3 linked regions of the Kluyveromyces lactis genome follow. Each later gene encodes a partner of the first gene's protein in a complex. Links are inferred from orthologs where the notes say so. Each region holds a gene or a part of one and is shown in the gene's direction. Other genes may lie near its edges.

Region 1 (2,573 bases):
GAGGATAGCTCACATCGCACTCAATCAATAATGAGGACATGAAGTTATTTCTTCGAATTTCCCTTATTAAATGTTGAAAGAAGAAGAAGGATACTGGACAATCATTCATCTTCTGGTGTTGTTACAAGGGCCACAAGACCACCTCTAACGAAAATCATTTCCGAAAACCTTTCGGTCGTTTTCAAATCTCCTTCTACTAGTTCATAAATGGTTTCCTTTGAATCTGAAAGAACAATATTACAATGTGAGTCGAAAGCCTGAAGAGTACCCACTAATTCACGAGCATCACGTAATTTCACATATACTCGCTCGTCTAAATTCAATTTTAATAGATCCAGAGGCGTATCAGACATCTTTGCGGCGTAAAGTGTGTATGTCTTCTATATTTATGATGCAGTCGTATTCTTACAATAACCAATAATGCAATTGATAGAGGGTACAGCAGTTAGGTTGAATGGTTTCCTTTGTCAGTTTATCAAATGGAGTACCAGGTATAGTAGAGTAGTCGATATACAATCCAAGGCTTAGTTCCATTCACACTCCAGAGCATCCTCCATAACATACTTAATCACCAAATTATTGTTAACGTACTAATTGATAAAAAGTGTTGAAGTTTTGAATTTCGATGTCAATGGAAAGCTCTGAATTATAGAATAATCAGTTAAACCAGGGAAGGTACACGTTTCCAACCATCTTTGAATGATACTGTACCTGTTGAAAGATGGCCAGGATATGCGATGCTAGTTTATCATCTTATTGCACTATGCTTCACTAAGAGAGTCAATAGTCAACCTGATATTCACGTGACTATCACATGACAAAGGCCGGGCAACCTAATGACGGACCCCGAATCAACTCTGTTCGATCAAAAAATTTTTATAACATTTAAGCAGAGGAAAGCTGAATAGGAATTAAAACATGGATGAATCAGCTAGCTGTCGTGATATTGAAGTGTTCTACCTCGATTGAGTAGCTGCAGGACGTGTTTATTATAGCAGGGATATTATATTTTCAAAATGTTCCCAGCAAGAAGGGGATTGCATACTACTTCTAGAGCATGTGCCAGGACGAGATTCACCAAACCTAAACCCAAACCAGCCAAGAGAGAGAACGTTAGACTACCTACCCAGAGGACCCATCACGATAATGATTTAAAGATTACAGCTCCTATTCCACCGGCTGCTGCCAATTTGACATGTCCAGATGATCATCCTTTATGGCAATTTTTCTCCGAGAAGAAGTTTTTAAGAACGCCCGAGGAATTGGATACGCTTTCGAGACCTTGGACCATCCCAGAGTTGAGAAGAAAATCGTTCACTGACCTACATTCTTTGTGGTACACATGTTTGAAAGAACGTAACGTATTAGCACGTGAAAACCATTTGGTGCAGTTCAACTTTGAAGCACAAACCGAAGCATACCAAGATATCTCCGAAAAGATCAGAACGACAATGTGGAGAATAAGACACGTCCTTAGCGAACGAGACTGGGCATTCAAGATAGCGAATGAGAAATTTGCTGTTGAAAAACAAGTATTTATCGAATCATTCGAAAAAGACTTTTTAGAAGCTCCTGCTAACGAAGATGAAGAGATTTTCGAATCATTGCAACGTTTTCAATATGCCATATACGGTATCTCTGAGTACATCGATGAGAACAAAGTGGACAGAACATTTGTGGATGGATTGAAAGCGGTTGCAACATTGAAGTTAAAGAAATTTGCACTAAGAAACGAGGACATCAAGAACTTTTTAGAAGAATCTAACAATACAATTGTGGATGCAGGTGAATCCTTCCTTCTGTATACATCAGAAAACACAGAATCTGCCATCGCAGAAGCATGTCAAGCGGTAAGGGAGTTGAGAGAAAATGGCTCCTCTGTGTCTAGATACGATGAATTGGAAACTGTTCAAGAATATGTTAATAAATTAGCTGAGGCTCAAATGGCAAAGGTAACAGAAGCGGAAATACAGCTGCAAGAAGAAGATGCAAAAAACAACGCTAATACACTATGATATTAATGCCATCGAAGTGATTGTATAAAGAGATAAGTGTAACCGTCCATTTGGATGAACCCAGCCTTCCTGTACATATGTATACACCAACTTAAATAACGGAATATAAAACAAAAAATTTCCTTCGACAACACTTTAATTTGACGAATAAGAATTGTATTTAAAGAGAGTTTTATTTGCAGTCAATTAATTCAATAGACCTTTTTAGCCTTTTTTACCGCTCTCCGTAGCGGCCTCCCAGTAATGCTATACTCTATCGACATAGTATCTTCAATTTTAACCGTGGACAAAGAATCTTCCGTACTGATCTCTGCCTCGTCTTTGACTACAACTTTAAAGTCTTCTTCTTCTCCAGATGCATCATAGTCCAGTTTGCGTCTTTTCACTAATTTATCACTTGTACTTGCTCCAACTGTTTTCCCAATTTCTTGTGCGAAAAGGACACATTGTGCCCAGCCCGCGTATGGGCCCCATAGATCCTGGAGCTTCCTTCTGTACATATCAAGTTCATAGTTCACCTTCTTACGTGTAATCGGTAACTTTTTGTATTCAGCCTGC
Region 2 (2,458 bases), on another chromosome or scaffold:
GTAAGTAGGTACGAAAATTTTCTAGCCTAGAGCACACACATGACGATCTTCATACAGAGAACAGGCTCGGAAGAGGTTCTGTATTAATCTAAAGACGAAGGTTATTACTGTTTAAAATAGGTCATAATCGAATGGACATACTGTGAAGTATTGTGCGTATTTTTTTGACAACAGTTTTGGAGGTTGACGATGAAGGCTAGTCTTCTGAGAACTTCGAAATTATACAAGGGTCTTCATTCAATAACTAAAGACGCCATTTCGAAGGTGGACACTTTCCCCAAGAATAAGCAACATGAAACGCTACATCGGTTAAACTCTTTCAATGAGAATCCAACACGCAAGACCTTGGAGAAATTAGTCTATTCTGTTCATTTCCATTTGTTGAACGATCCTCCTAAACACGTAGACATATTGAGACAATACCCTAATGAGTTGGCAAAATTTTGGCCCTATGAAATGCAGCACTCGATTTTAGAAATGGATGACCCAAATCTAACATCTCAAACGATTTTATGGTCTCGTAACAATAAGGATGCTTTGGATTTCTTGAGCTTCAATCGTCATAAGTGGCTGCGGCCGAAAAACTGGCAGACTCCGAATGAGGAACTTATAAAAGATATCACAGGAATTGACGGTCTTCAATCAACTCAAATTACAGAAGTATTAAGACTCCCTGCAGAAAAGATAAAGGAGACACTACGGCAAATTTTCGAGCATTACTATTTCTTGAAGACAAATCCGAAACTATGCGCTACAAAAAAACTCCAGGCACCAATCGTTGAGATCGGAATGAAACCTGATGGTTTCGATATAGCCGACATCAGGATCGATAACTTGTTTAAGAAAAAGGTCAAGCTAATTAGTGACCTGCTCTACTCGCAAAATCCGGTGCTGACTTCAGATGCAGAGTCTATATTAACGTCAATAGTTAACGACCCAGATCTCAATAGGCGAACGAAAAGATTGTATAAAAATGTTGCCAGCAGATCTTACCTTTTCAAAGATGGGAAGTTCGAAATAAGTGAACTTGCTAGAGGCGGATTTGTCCTGTCGAAGGAAAATTTGAGCGAGAACTTAGCTGCTGCCCTTGAGGAAGAACATAATTGACTTATGAACACACATCACGTGATATATAATTTACCTACAGCTACCATTTTAGCTCAATGTAAATAGAAAACACTTTAATAATAATGTTAGCCAGGAAATGAAACCGCCAATACACTTATTGTAACAGACTAGTCTAAGACCGATTTGAAGTTTCAGCGGTTTGCTAGAAGCCAAGTTTGTTCGCTTCCACAGATGCTTTCACTATTTCCAACATCCATCGATATTTTCATACATTTACATTAGTCTCGAGAAAGAAAAAATTTGAATTCAAAGAAATCAAACGAAGAGAAACCAGGACATATTTCTTGAAGACGAAGTCTCCTAAAAGTAGTCGCCCGAACTACTCATTAGTTATCGATAAGGATTTAATTCGAAGTGAAGAACAATTAAAATAAAATCTCATCCAGTCGTTATGAGTTTTATAACAAGAAATCTTCTTCAGTGGACCTCAAAACGTACATTAACCAGTTTCTCTAGTTTCTCACCTTTAAGAACACTAGACTCACGTCTTCATAGACCTTTGGCGCAAGTCAATCCAATGGAAATCACTTTACAATCTCAAACACAAGCAAATGGCTCATCAATATTTGGTATGTTGTTCGATTTGACTCAGAGAAGATGGAAAAGTAGAGGTAACACTTTCCAACCGAGTACTTTAAAGAGAAAGAGAAGAGTGGGGTTCCTAGCAAGGGCAAGATCTAGAAGTGGACAACAGATACTTAAAAGAAGAAAGAATAAAGGCAGATGGTATTTGACTTATTAGTTCTGTTCAACTTTCCAATCAAACCAGGAACGTTATGGAAGCGCCTGATTATAAAGAATGGCTGAATCTCCTGTATATATATCCACATCGTCATTATGTATTTTAAGAAAACGGAACAGTTTTGATTTTAGCTTTGCCATCAGAAAGCTGGCATGACATTAAGATGATTCTATCGGATAGGTTTATAGTTATCAATTGCAGAAGGAATCTTTTTTCTATTAACGATTTCTATGTACATGGGCATTATTTCTGAAGTAAGTTTCATTCTATCTTGACAAGGACAACAATTCCAGTTATTGTTCATAAAAATTGGGTTGCTTTATTAAGCAAAGTCAATCACAATACCAGGACCGTGTGTACTTGTCAGCGTAGTTTGGGACAATATGCTTGGTTTTTTCGTTTGTTGATTGGTGATAGATTGTTTGAAAGCCTTCTGTGTTGCCAACAAGTTCTCTAGAACTTCCTTGTCAGTGAAATGGGTCTTGGCAACACCTAAACTAATACTGTTACCACGTTGTCTGAATGGAACAGAGCTCATACTATCTTTAATCAATGGCTCAAGATCTTCGGCGACGGTTCCCTTCTTGG
Region 3 (2,261 bases), on another chromosome or scaffold:
TTAGATCCAAACTGCTCTGCTGTTTACTATCATCGCGGTCAAATGCATTTTGTTGTTGAAAACTTCAAAGAAGCTGGTGCCGATTTCGATAAGGCTAAGGAATTAAATCCAGAAAACATTTTTGCCTACATCCAATGTGCTTGCTTGGCTTTCCGTGACGATAGATTTGATGATTGTGAAACTTTGTTCAGCGAAGCCAGAAGAAAGTTCCCAACTGCTCCAGAAGTTCCAAACTTTTATGCCGAAATTTTGGCTGCTAAGAACTCTCTAGATGCTGCCATCAAGCAATACGATATTGCCATCAAGTTGGAAGATGCTTTACCAGGTATTCACGTCGGTATTGCTCCAATGATTGGTAAGGCCACTGCTTTGATTAGAAACCCAACCGTTGAAAACTTCGTTGAAGCTTCCGAATTATTTGAAGAAGCTTGTAAGATCGATCCAAGATCCGAACAAGCCAAGATCGGTCTTGCTCAACTAAAATTGCAACAAGAAGAAATTGATGATGCCATTCAATTGTTCGAAGATGCTGCCGATCTCTCAAGATCTTTCGATGAAAAACTACAAGCTACTACTTTCGCTGAGGCTACCAAGGTCCAGAAAAAGATCAGAGCTGATCCATTCATTAAGGGTAAGATCGACGAAGCTATTGCAGCCTACCGTGCTCAAGGTCTCGCGTAAATTAGCATGATATTCACGAATGAATTTAATTCATTTCAATATGAGTAAAGCTACAATAGCTCATTGTTTTTGTCTCACCTTAATGACCATAATGGCAACATACCATGCAACATCTAAACGAATGAATTACCAAGAAAGTTATGATTTTACAAACAAAAAGTTGTAGCATTTCACCCAAGTTATTTATGACTCGTAAGCAGCGTGAACTGTGTTAATCGTAAACGACAAGATCTCAACATTACAACGTGAAGAATAAGAAATAGTTATCAATTCTTCACAAAAACAAGACAAAAAGAAACACAGAAGAACAAGAATACGAGAACAACGCTTTTCAATAACAGCTCATTGCAAAATATGTGCTCCTAAATACCCCTGGTTCAAAAACATCATCTTCTACCATTTTGCTAGAAACAAATACGTCTTTCTGTATATACATGTATCTCCCCCATCTCACAATTTAATCAAATTGTAATTTTAAACACTTCGATAGTATATCACTACATACGTTTCAACATAAATGACATTTTTTGTTTTCTCTGAAAGAAGTGTATGTAATAAAAGTTTCTTGTGAGATTATGGCAAGGTACTGAGTGAAAGTGAGCTACAATTCAAGTACTTCATTGTTAACGGACTATAGCAGGATTTACCCCACCAGCGAACTACTTCAAATATGCTATCTTCTATCTTTGGTTCGATGATGAACTTTTCCGCTAGAACTGGACTTCTGGGATCTAAAACTAATGTTTCATCGCTCATCCTCACCAGAAACTTGATGAAAACACACAAAGGTGCCGCAAAAAGATGGAGAAAAACAGCCAATAGCTTCAAGAGGGGCAAGGCTGGAAGAAATCATGGTAATGCTGGATGGAGTAGGAACTCCCTTAAATCATTATCTGGCAGGTCATTAGCAGACTCCACACATATGCATCGTTTAAAGAGATTGCTTCCATACCATTAAGAGATGAAAGGCAATTAAAATAAGATATCGTTTCGATTTCAATCCTGTACATATAACAATGGCATCCCCATAATGAATGACACACCATTTCTTACCATGATTTTCAGTAAAGCATGTCATGAAAAATCAGCGGGTTACTATAATGGATAATTATCATTAATAAATACCTATATACAATTTGCAAACAACGGTAAAAAATGATTAATCATATATATAGTCAAATTAAGTCTCCGAGATATCATTCTCGATCCAACTACCTGTTTTTGGATTCTTTCTTAATTCTACCGTTGGGAAGTAGTGATAGTTTGTCTTTAAGGAAATGGCAAACGGAACATCGTCAAATGTCATTAAGCGTAACTTGCAGTATGTATTATCTGGGATTTCTTTAACAACCTTCAAGAATGTATCCAAATCAGGTGTTGATTGGTCATTGACGTGTGTGATAAAGTTGGTCACTTCTATTCCGTACTGTAACGCCAAAGAAGATGTACCACGAGAAACCGCATATACTTCACTAGGAATAGACGTTTTTACTTGACGCACGGCATGATGAGGAGCTTGTAGTACGCAACCTGCGAATACGACAATTCTAGTGGTTTCTTCAATTTGTACAGTTTTTATT

What was found.
Region 2: MRPL4 (region 1) and MRX14 share a complex: the UniProt entries of both Saccharomyces cerevisiae proteins name them as parts of the mitochondrial large ribosomal subunit. The link is inferred for Kluyveromyces lactis from reciprocal best matches to the Saccharomyces cerevisiae genes MRPL4 and MRX14.
Region 3: MRPL4 (region 1) and MRP35 share a complex: the UniProt entries of both Saccharomyces cerevisiae proteins name them as parts of the mitochondrial large ribosomal subunit. The link is inferred for Kluyveromyces lactis from reciprocal best matches to the Saccharomyces cerevisiae genes MRPL4 and MRP35.

What each region holds. Positions count from the first base shown.
Region 1 is NC_006038.1:467,709-470,281, reverse strand, and holds MRPL4 (mitochondrial 54S ribosomal protein uL29m), read left to right. Parts: upstream 1-1,016; coding exon 1,017-2,015; downstream 2,016-2,573. Other genes in the region: U4/U6-U5 snRNP complex subunit LSM3, read right to left, coding at 102-353; 8-oxoguanine glycosylase OGG1, read right to left, coding at 2,207-2,573. UniProt on the Saccharomyces cerevisiae protein: Component of the mitochondrial ribosome (mitoribosome), a dedicated translation machinery responsible for the synthesis of mitochondrial genome-encoded proteins, including at least some of the essential transmembrane subunits of the mitochondrial respiratory chain.
Region 2 is NC_006042.1:1,781,305-1,783,762, forward strand, and holds MRX14 (mitochondrial 54S ribosomal protein bL34m), read left to right. Parts: upstream 1-1,519; coding exon 1,520-1,870; downstream 1,871-2,458. Other genes in the region: GEP5 (Gep5p), read left to right, coding at 190-1,107; MRPL1 (mitochondrial 54S ribosomal protein uL1m), read right to left, coding at 2,193-2,458. UniProt on the Saccharomyces cerevisiae protein: Component of the mitochondrial ribosome (mitoribosome), a dedicated translation machinery responsible for the synthesis of mitochondrial genome-encoded proteins, including at least some of the essential transmembrane subunits of the mitochondrial respiratory chain.
Region 3 is NC_006042.1:2,241,588-2,243,848, forward strand, and holds MRP35 (mitochondrial 54S ribosomal protein bL35m), read left to right. Parts: upstream 1-1,351; coding exon 1,352-1,639; downstream 1,640-2,261. Other genes in the region: protein channel TOM70, read left to right, coding at 1-681; NMA111 (Nma111p), read right to left, coding at 1,862-2,261. UniProt on the Saccharomyces cerevisiae protein: Component of the mitochondrial ribosome (mitoribosome), a dedicated translation machinery responsible for the synthesis of mitochondrial genome-encoded proteins, including at least some of the essential transmembrane subunits of the mitochondrial respiratory chain.